Linked DNA regions of Callithrix jacchus. The protein of the gene in region 2 interacts with the protein of the main gene of each other region in a pairwise test. Links are inferred from orthologs where the notes say so. Each region holds a gene or a part of one and is shown on either strand. Other genes may lie near its edges. The genes, in order: MYOT, TRIM63 and CKM.

Region 1 (3,650 bases), on a different chromosome or scaffold from region 2:
TAACCCCAGTACCAAGGGAGGCTGAGGTGGGAGGACTGCTTGAGGCTAGGAGTTTAAGACCAGCCTAGGCAACATAGTAAGACCCTATCTTTACAAAAAAAAAAAAGAAAGAAAGAAAAATTAGCCAGGCATGGTGGTGGCTTACACTTGTAGTCCTTCCCGAGATTGCCTGTGGGAAGATCGCTTGTGCCGAGGAGTTGGAGGGGCTGCAGTGAGCTATTATAGCCTAGGCGACCAAGCAAGACACTGTCTCAAAAAAAAAAAAGAAAGAAAGAAAGGAAAGAAAAAGAAAAGAAAAAGCACATAAGATCTGAAAGATGTCAAATAAGCAATATTATTGTTTAAGCAAATATTGTAACAATTATTTTCTCCTTTTGAAGGAACAATATTCTTCAAGAGAAGCTCACTCTACCACAGCCAGGAGCACAGTATTCTCAGGATCTGAACGAGGAAGAGCAGACCAAGGTTGCTTCTGATTCCTGGCAACCTTCCATAATTCCAGGCTTGTGGCTCCAAAGTCAGGGCTCCACCCTTCCAGGAACAAATCATTATAGTAATAACGTGCCTTCATCTTCCATATACCAACTAAGCATGTTTAACTACGAACGTCCAAAACACTTCATCCAGTCTCAAAACCCATGTGGCCCCAGACTGCAGCCTCCTGGACCAGAAACCTCCAGCTTCTCTAGCCAGACCAAACAGTCTTCCATTATCATCCAGCCCCGCCAGTGTACAGAACAAAGATTTTCTGCCTCCTCAACAGTGAGCTCTCACATCACCATGTCCTCCCCTGCTTTCCCTGCTTCTCCCCAGCAGCCTGCTGGCTCCAACCCAGGCCAAAGGGTTACAACCACCTATAACCAGTCCCCAGCCAGCTTCCTCAGCTCCATATTACCATCACAGCCTGATTACAATAGCAGTAAAATCCCTTCCCCGATGGATTCCAAGTAAGTGAATTTTTACATATTGCATGTACAGTGAACTTGTATCTGAGGAGTTTGCAGCGGGGTGGGGGTTAGGAGTTTTAGGATTATGCTGCAGTTCATTTTTTACTATCTAAAAAGGCAATGTGACCTTACAGTCTCATTCCATAGTTCTAATAGAACATGCTGAACCAGCATACTGGTAATAAGAGATCATCTGACAATTCTCCAGTGTCCAGGCTGAGCTGAATCCAAATTACCTATTACCCCATAAAATTATTTACCCATTATTTTCCATCTTTGAAAAAACAATTCCTCACATACCTAAGAACAATGAACTTTTCCTTTAGTTCTAAGCTAAGCTCCTCATGCTGTAAATTTAATTCCTCTGGTTCTGGGCTCAGCTGAGATGAACACCTGTCTGCTCATCTTCAGATAGGATTTCCTCCTATCACATAAGCAAAGGCTATTAAGTTTCTTCTCAGTTTTTCTTCCTTTCCCTTTTCCCCTCTAATCCCGAACATCCACTTGGCTGAAAAAATTTTAAATTAACAAATAAAAAAAAATCTGGAACTCAGACTTTTGAGTGTATACATTTTCCTTACTATGATCAGAAGGAGAGCCTGAATAGATGAAGGCTTATGACCTTAAGGTTTCTTCTGTTAATTAAAACCACACCTTGTTCAAATTAGTTGGGTTGATCTAAATACAGGGACTAATACTGAGGCCTTATGAAAACATGTGCTATTTCTACTGCCCTAAGACTGTTCTAGGAGAACCTGATATGAAAAAGGACATGATGGTTAGGCTTTTTTTAAAACATGAACTGAATACCTTGTGCTTATGCAAACTAAAGGCTATCAGATTTCCTGTTCCTTGGCTGGCTGGAACACTCAGAGAATTGAATCAGAGGCATCTCAATAATTGTCCAATGGAATATGTTTTGTTGCAGGCTTACTGATACATTCACTCAACTCCACTAATTTCTCGCAATCTTCTCTAGAGGCTAATTTTTCTAGAAATTTCTATTTTTGGTGACAACTTTGGAAACCTAGTTGAACCGACTATAGCAATTCAGCTTGCAAAAAAAAGTTTCAATATTTAAAAAACTAAAAATCAGGAAAACCAAAAACATGTTAGAATCCTACAGATACTGAGTCGAACCATTTGAAATGGCTGATAATCAACTGTTTTTGACCTACAAAAATAGCATTCTCGTAGGTTTAACCTAATATTTTAAAAGGATGCTTTCAATAATTGAGAGCCCTTTCTTTCTCTTCCCTCCCAAATTCCCTTAATATTCATGATATATAGTAGATTTTTCCTGGTTACATTTACCCTGATGATCATTTTCTATCTAGCTTTCTATTGTTTCCATATTTCCTACATAAGCATTTTAAAATGTAAAACAACTTTTTCTGTTTTTCTTAGTAAAGTCTTTCAGTTCTATTCCAAATTACTCCCCATAAAAGAAAGTTATTGAAAACCTAAGAAAAGAGAAAGAGGCCAGGCATAATAGCTCACACCTATAATTCCAGCATTTTGGGAGGCCAAGGCGGGTGGATCACCCGAGGTCAGGAGTTCTAGAACAGCCTGGCCAAGGCCAACATGGCGAAACTCCATCTCTCTAAAAAATACAAAAATTAGCTGGGCACAGTGGCAGGCACCTGTAATCCTAGCTATTTGGGAGGCAGAGGCAGAAGAATCGCTTGAACTTGGGATTCAGAGGTTGCAGTGAGCTAAGATTGCATCACTGCACTCCAGCCTGAGAGACAGAGCAAGACTCCAACTCAAAAAAAAAAAGAAACAGAGAGAGAGAGAGAAACGCAAAACTATAATAAGAAATAAAGCCTAGGAGGTCCCCAAACCAGAGATCAAAGATCCAGCTTTAGCTGTTCCATTTTCAGCAACCACAGATAAATCTTTAATCTTCCCATAGCCACTTGATACCCATTTTGTCCAGCTGTACAGAGTGGAAAGCCCTGGCCCTTTGAACATTTGTGCACAACTCCCTCATTGTTATGAGGGGCTCCAATTTGCCCTGACTTCCAAAATGATCCCTTGGATTCTGACCTAGAGAAGTCTGAAACCTTTATTTAGGTTTTCATCAATAGGAAGCTCTTAAGCAAACATTTTACCCAGTTGATCAAACTACAGACTGAAAATTGAGGGGAACTCAATTATTCTTCCAAAAAGCTTTCAATATGAAATTCAGCAAGCACTTTACTACCCAGTGCTTCAGTTTTCTGGTCTGTAGCAATATTAAGGAATTAGGTAATTAATCATAGAGAAAGAACCTATAAAGCAGTGTGCAAACATACTATTAGTTTGTAAATAGGAACATTTATCAAGTCCTAACACTTAAGCTAACTAAACTGGTAATAATGAGGGTATTCAGTGAACAAAGTAACTGAGGTTACATATACATCGGTGATTCTCAGGATTGATTTTGATAATCCTTCAGTATTTTTCAGATATATTAAGAATTTCCCAGATAGGACAAGTCTAAAAACAATTATTTAATGTAATTCGCATTAACAAATGTGTGACTTACAAAGATGGTAAGCTAGCATTAAAAAAAAAAAAAAAAAAAAAAAAAACAGGTGGCTCACACCTGTAATCCTAGCACTTTGGGAGGCCAAGGCCGGCAGATCACCTGAGGTCAGGAGTTTGAGACCAGCCTGGCCAACATGGTGAAACCCTGTCTCTACTAAAAAAATACAAAAA
Region 2 (3,750 bases):
AGTTTTCTTAATTCAGTATTTGATCCATGGCACAAATCTCAGTGTATAAAAAACAAAACAAGCTTGTAATCATTTAAGTAACACAGGTCTGCCCCTGGCCATCTTTTCCTACATGCCAACATGGAAGATATCCTAGAAACATGGAGAAAAGTTAAAATATGTGCAGAGAGCTAAGGAAAGCCTCTGGCTAACTTTTTTTTTTTTTTTTTTTTGAGACAAAGTCTTGCTCTGTTCCCCAGGCTGAAGTGCAGTGCGGTGATCTCAGCTCACTGCAATATCCATCTCCCCAGTTCAGGCAATTCTTCTGCCTCAGCCTCCCAAGTAGCTGGGATTACTGGCATGTGCCACCATGCCTGGCTAATTTTTATATTTTTTTGGTAGAGATGGGGTTTCACCATGTTGGCTAGTCTCGAACTCCTGACCTCAGGTGATCCACCTGCCTCAGCCTCCCAAAGTGCTAGGATTACAAGGGTGAGCCACTGTGCCCGGCCCCCTCTGGCTAACTTCTAAGTGTCCAGGCAGGGATTTGTGGCACCGCATGAGGGTTTTTCCTTTCTATCTCCCTTCCTGGGGTGTGAGTTTCTCAGGGCAGGGAAACCAATCACTCATCCATCTGTCACCCTATAATGTATATTAGTTGCCTGATATACACTAGTACTCAGAAAAATGTCTGATAAATGAATAATATTCCTGGCTTTGCCACTTACTTTTTTTTTTTTTGAGACAGAGTCTTGCTCTTATCACCCAGGCTGGAGTGCAGTGGTGCAGATGTGAGCCATCACGCCCGGCTGCCACTTACTTTCTAACTGACTTTGAATATAATCCTTTTCTTCTCTAGTCCCATTTCAAAATCTATAAGACAAGGGGCCTGGACTGCATTTCAGCACTAAGTGAAATAAGTGGCTGAGGGATGCAGGATGGGCTGGGGGAGGTCGCTACCATTGCTACCCAGCAAAATGCTGTGCTGAGGTCTGATGCAGAGGGATACAGAGGGGCTGCCTGACCCCTCCATCTAGGAGCTGCCCAGGACTCCAGAGGAGGGGATGGAACTGATTTAGGTCAATGAGGGGGCACTGGCTATTAACCCCTTGAATCCCAGTGGCTCACTTGTTGGGTCCCATCCCTGACCCACTAGCCTGGTGCCGGGGGGAGACCAATTTCTGGAGGAAGCTCTGGGTACCCAGTCTTCCCCTAAGCCTGCCTCTGAACAAGCTGTTCTTGTTTATGACCCCCGTCCCAGCAGAACAGTGATTGCTCATCCTTGCATGTGATTTGAGAGGGCCAGTCTTTCAGGTCTGGAGGAAACTCAAGCCCCACCAGCCGCTTGGCATCGGAATGCTCAGCTGGTCTGCTCCTGGGGCTCATGTGACCAAGATCCAGCTATAAATATCAGAGGGGCCTCAGACTAAGACAGAATTCGGGCACCAGGAGAAGGAAGCCAACAGGATCCGACACAGTGTTTCCTGACAAAGGCAAGACCCCCGCCCAGGTCTACTTAGAGCGAAGTCAGTAGAGGAGGCAACTAGGTGCGGCTCTCACTCTGACCCACAGAATGGATTATAAGTCGAGCCTGATCCAGGATGGGAACCCCATGGAGAACTTGGAGAAGCAGCTGATCTGCCCTATCTGCCTCGAGATGTTTACCAAGCCAGTGGTCATCTTGCCGTGCCAGCACAACCTGTGCCGGAAGTGTGCCAACGACATCTTCCAGGTCAGTGCCAGGGGCAGTCTCATCTGGGGGCCTCAGGTGGCTGCTCAGCTTACCTGTGATGAAACCCTTCTTCATGCTTAGCCTTCCAAGCGGGATGGGCTCTTTCCCCTTGGAAGTGAACCCTTACAGAGGCCTCTGGACAGGGTTGAGAGGGGCTGGGAGGCAGCTCTGGCTGTCACCGTCCTTCTCCATGACGCATGTTTCCCCTCCCCACCCTGCCCATAGCTCCTCCACCCCTACCCTGAGCACTGCTGTTGACTCTCCAATCAAGAGTCAAATGCCTCAAGTGATAAGCGGGGGAGGCAGGGGACAGGAGAGAGAAACCAGACCCGTGGGGCTGGAGCCAGCTCCTGGTGGCAAGAGGCCCAGAGCTTTGGGAGGAGGGTGTCAAGGAGGCAGTGGGCAGTAGAGGCTTCTTTCCTTTCGAGGCTGTTCCCTACAATATGGGAGCAGAAGGGGCTTTAACTCCCCAAGAAAGGAAGGGGGCAGGTGTCCTGGCTAGGTAGCAGGATGCGCGGTTCCCCAGGGGCACTTTACAAAATGTGTAAATTTTCACAATTTTATCTTAATAGTAGCAGCCCTAGGAGCTTGCTGTAATTCTAATACCCACTTCATAAGTGGGCAAACTGAGGCTTAGAGAGATAAGGTTGCTTGCCCAAAATCACTCGGAGAATAAATGCGACTTTAACCCAGGTCTGCTGCCTCCCCGTCCTGATAATTGCTTAGCTGCTTCTCAGATGTTCCATGTGTGAGGACTGGTTCTCACTGCAGCCTGCCGAGCTCCAGGTCCTCAGATTTGACCAGAGTGGTTGAGATAGGTAGAGGAAAGGGTAAGAGGAGATTAGAAAAGGAAAAGGCTGAGGAGGGACCCCAGACCTCACCTTGACCTTTGCCACCTGCAGGCATCAAATCCCTACTGGACCAGCCGGGGCAGCTCAGTGTCCATGTCTGGAGGCCGTTTCCGCTGCCCCACCTGCCGCCACGAGGTGATCATGGATCGTCACGGAGTGTATGGCCTGCAGAGGAACCTGCTGGTGGAGAACATCATCGACATCTACAAACAGGAGTGCTCCAGGTCGGTTCTCATGCCTGCTGGGGGTCCATCCTCCTTCCCAGCCATGCTGTGCCCAGCTCCCCCAGGCTCCTTCCCCCTCCTTCATCTGCTCAGGATCCAGGCCCCTAGCTGGACTAGTTACACAAGCCAGTTCAGAGACAGGATTGGAGACCCATACACCCCAACCTGGCTCTCAGATCACTCAGTGGATGGGAAGGGACCCAGACATGAGGCTGCCCTTCCAGGAGAGACTAAGACAGAGACTCAGGGAAAGTTGAGATGTGGGAGGGAAAGAAAAGCCCTGGGGCCAGCTAGTGGCTCTGGTCAGCAGAGAAAGTGCCCAGTGGGAAACAGCCAGGTTGTCCATAAGGATAGCAATGACTACTCTCCCGTGTGCCAGGAGGAAGAGTTCCAGGCACTGGGAAGGCTTCATCTTAGCACCTCCCAATCATTCTGTGGATCAGGCATGACTCTATTATCCTCATTTCACAGATGAGAAACTGAGGCTAAAAAGGTGAAGTCAATTAGCTAAGGTTTCCCAGCTGGGAAGTGAAAGAGCCAGGAGTTAACCCAGTCAATCTAGCTCTGAGTCTCCATGTAATAAAATAGCAGCTCATTCACAGGCAAACTGTGTGAGAGGTGGAAGTTGTACCGTGTTGGCCTCAAACTGGGGAGAGAAGGCCAGGCGTGGTGGCTCACACCTGTAATCCCAACACTCTGGGAGGCCAAGGTGGGATGACAGATTGAGGCCAGGAGTTCAAGACCAGTCATGGCAACATAATGAGATCCTGTTTCTACAAAAATTAAAAACCAGCTGAGTGTGGTGGGGCATGCCTGTAGTCCCAGCTACTAGGAGAATTGTTGAGCCAGGGAGTCAAGGCTGCAGAGCCATGATCATGCTACTGCACTCCGGCCTGGGTGCCAGTGAGAGAGACACAGCTACAGGGAAGATCTTTACAAATCAGGACATGCTGGTAAGACTCCA
Region 3 (3,486 bases), on a different chromosome or scaffold from region 2:
GCATGGCTAATTCAAAGCTAGAGTTGGAAAGGGCCCATGCTTTGGGAGAGTGACATTGGGCTTAGTGCCTCTTGAGGTCTCAGATTCCCCGTAGAGCCTTCTAATTTATTTTTTTAAATCTTTTCTTCTTTTTTTTTTTTTTTGAGACAGAGTTTTGCTCTTGTTGCCCAGGCTCGAGTGCAATGGCATGATCTCAGCTCACCGCAACCTCCGCCTCCCGGGTTCAAGCGATTCTCCTGCCCCAGCCTCCCAAATAGCTGGGATTACAGGCGTCTGCCACCATGTCTGGCTAATTTCTGTATTTTTAGTAGAGACAGCGTTTCTCCAAGTTGGTCAGCTTGGTCTGGAACTCCTGACCTAAGGTGATCTGCCCGCCTCGGCCTCCCAAAGTGCTGGGATTACAGGCGTGAGCCACCACGCCCGGCCAAGCCTTCTAATTTTTGGACTAGATTCTGTGACCTAACTTTGCCTCATTTTAGACCTGAGATAAGACATGTTTAGTACATGCCTAGACAAGACAAACCTCTCCGAGGCCGCACAGTGGCCAATTACACCTCCTCCCTCAATAACTATCGCACAAAGCTAAGGCCACCATTGTTTTTATTTATTGCTTTGCGTGGAGACAAGTACGAGCTCCGGATGTGCTGGGAGCGCTCCATTAATTAGAGCTCCTGTTGGGGGCGGAGCTCTAGGAAAAGAAGAGGACCCTGCCAGGGAGATTTTTCACTGGCCAGAACCCAGAGGATGGAGGCCATTGGTTGGAACTCTGGTTGAAACTGGAAGTCTGAGAAGGGTGGAGAGAGCCCCCAGAAGACAGAACCATCACAGGGTGGGATTCCGGGAAAGGGGGCGGGGCAAGGAGTGAGGGGGCGGGCCTCCGGTGGGCCAGGCCCTCCCATTGGCTGGGTTCCAGCAGTCGGTGGTGGCTGGGCAGGGCGCCTACTTCTGGGCGGGGATCATGTCATCGATGGACTGGCCTTTCTCCAGCTTCTTCTCCATCTCCACCATGAGCTTCACACCATCCACCACCAGCTGCACCTGTTCTACTTCGGATGAGCCCAGCCGATCAGCGTTGGACACGTCGAATACTGAGCCCACGGCAGCTGTGTCCACGCCACCTGTAGGAGCAAGGGACAGGGGCATGAGGAGACAGCGAAGGTTGCAGAGTGGCTAGGATGTGGTGGTCCCCTTGCCAAATGCAACAGCTGCATGTGTTGAGTGGCTACTGTGTAACAGGTTACCTGCACACAGGTAATGCCTGTCTAGTCGTGGGCTTACAAGTCTCTGGATTTAGATAGGGTACCACACCACTCGATTATCCAACATGAAAATATAGTATAGTGGGTAAGAGAGTGGGTTCCAGAGGCAGGCGGCGTGGGATCGAATCCTGACCCCTCCTCACTTTATAAATGGGGAAACTCGAGAGAGGTGCAAGGGCATACGCAATGCATATTATATAACCGTGAAAATCCCTCATTGACTCCTATGACGTGGGCGTGTTGGCGCCCATTTTACGAGGAAGAAATGCAGGCTCACAGACGGTCAGCCCTTGCCGGATACCCAGAACTCATGGGGCTGTCCAGCCTCCCTTTCCACTCCCGAAAGGGCCCGCCCCACCCGTCGTGGTGCAGGGGATGTGGGAATCGCACCTGTGCCCCTCTTCTGCAGGCGCAGGCGGGTGAGGATCTCCTCGAACTTGGGGTGCTTGCTCAGGTGCGCCAGCTTCACATGCACGCCTCCACGCAGCCCAGTGCCCAGGTTGGATGGGCAGGTGAGCACGTAGCCCAGGTGCTGGTTCCACATGAAGGGGTGGCCGGCTTTCTTAAAGATTTCCTCGATCTGAGATTGGGGGAGAGGACCAGGGATCAGCACCAGCAGGCACCTCCAAATGCACCCGCCACATGGGCAGGGTCCAGAAAGGCGTGGGAACGTGGGTGAAGATGGGATTCGGAGGGAACCAGGAGGTAGGAGATTCCGAGGGTACTGGCTAGACAAGGGTGACCAAGGCAAGATTTTGAGGAGGCAGGGACTAAGAACGATTTTTCTTTTCTTTTTTTTTTTTTGACAGTCTTACTGTGTCACCCAGGCTGGAGTGCAATGGCGTGATCTCGTCTCACTGCAACCTCCGCTTCCCAGGTTCAGGTGATTATCCTGCCTCAGCCTCCCGAGTAGCTGGGACTGCAGGCGCGGCGCCACCACGCCTGGCTAATTTTTTTTTTTTTTTTTTTTTTTTTAGTAGAGACAGGGTTTTACGATGCTGGCCAGGCTGGTCTTGAACTCCTGACATCAAGTGATCTGCCCTCCTCAGTCTACCAAAGTGCTGGGATTACAGGCCTGAGCTTCCGCTCCCGGCCTGAAGGCGGGTCCTTAAGGGCGGGGCTTGGGCGTAGGGTGGTGCTGGGTCGAGGGGCGAGGCCCTGGAAAGTAGGTGGGGCTTGTTTTGAGGGGCGGGACTTGGTATAGGGGTGGAGCCAGATCCGGGGGGCAGGGCCCTAGAAAGTGGGTGGGGCAGGGCTTAGTATAGACAAGGGGCGGGGCCTCGGAAAGCCGGTGGGGCGTTCCAGGTGGAGTCAGAAGTCGGCAGTAAAGAGTGGACACCCACCTTCTGCAGCCCCACGCAGAAGCGGCGGAAGACCTCCTTCATGTTGCCCCCCTTCTCCATGGAGATGACCCGGAGGTGATCCTCCTCGTTCACCCACACCAGGAAGCTCTTGTTGTCATTGTGCCTAGAGTAAGGTGCCACAGCAAGAGGCCAAGGTGTCAGCTCCGGGGGACCCATTCCCACCCCTCTCCCAGACTTCGGCCCACCGCCCGGGGGAGGCAGGCCTGAGGGTTGGAAGGTGGGTGGCATCTACCTCCTCCAAACGCAGAAGCTTAAACCTGTAGACTAACGTCACAGGACCTGCAAAACCTTGAATCCTGTGATCAAGGGCTTTTAGGGGCTTAAATCTTTGAACAGCACTGTTATAGATCCTTGGGATCTCAGGAAGTTTGACAAACAGAAGCTTGGACTCAGAATTGATAACATCTTGGAAATCCTGATGTAGGATTTCCCATCGCACTGTGTTAGCTCCCAATCCTAGCATCTCGGAAGTGGAATCTTAGAACATAAAATATTAAAATCTGGAAATGCTTGGGTGCGGTGGCTCATGCCTGTAATCCCAGCACTTTGGAAGGCCGAGGCTGGAGGATCACTTGAACCCAGGAGTTCAAGACCAGCCTGGGCAACATGGCAAGACCCTCATAGCTACAAAATTTAAAAATTAGCGGGCGTGGTGGCACGCACGCCTGTAGTCCAAGCCACTCGGGAGGCTGAGGTGGAGGATCGCTTGGCCTTGGAAGATCCAGGCTGCACTGAGATATGATCCCACCACTGTGCTCCAGCCTAGGCAACAGAGCAAGACCCTGTCTCAAAAAAAAAAAAAAAAATCTGAGGGCGTGCACTGTGGCTCACACCTGTAATCCCACCACTTTGGGAGGCTGAGG

Evidence for each region.
Region 1: the proteins of TRIM63 (region 2) and MYOT interact in a two-hybrid assay, tested with the Homo sapiens proteins (2 studies listed by BioGRID). The link is inferred for Callithrix jacchus from reciprocal best matches to the Homo sapiens genes TRIM63 and MYOT.
Region 3: the proteins of TRIM63 (region 2) and CKM interact in a two-hybrid assay, tested with the Homo sapiens proteins (2 studies listed by BioGRID). The link is inferred for Callithrix jacchus from reciprocal best matches to the Homo sapiens genes TRIM63 and CKM.

Annotation. Positions count from the first base shown.
Region 1 is NC_133503.1:36,291,594-36,295,243, forward strand, and holds part of MYOT (myotilin), read left to right. Parts: intron 1-380; 5' UTR 381-591; coding exon 592-947; intron 948-3,650. UniProt on the Homo sapiens protein: Component of a complex of multiple actin cross-linking proteins. Involved in the control of myofibril assembly and stability at the Z lines in muscle cells.
Region 2 is NC_133508.1:62,720,109-62,723,858, reverse strand, and holds the start of TRIM63 (E3 ubiquitin-protein ligase TRIM63), read left to right. Parts: upstream 1-1,412; 5' UTR 1,413-1,552; coding exon 1,553-1,711; intron 1,712-2,613; coding exon 2,614-2,786; intron 2,787-3,750. UniProt on the Homo sapiens protein: E3 ubiquitin ligase. Mediates the ubiquitination and subsequent proteasomal degradation of CKM, GMEB1 and HIBADH.
Region 3 is NC_133523.1:39,484,353-39,487,838, forward strand, and holds the end of CKM (creatine kinase M-type), read right to left. Parts: intron 2,841-3,486; exon of another isoform or gene 2,727-2,840; coding exon 2,603-2,726; intron 1,840-2,602; coding exon 1,650-1,839; intron 1,119-1,649; coding exon 940-1,118; 3' UTR 584-939; downstream 1-583. UniProt on the Homo sapiens protein: Reversibly catalyzes the transfer of phosphate between ATP and various phosphogens (e.g. creatine phosphate).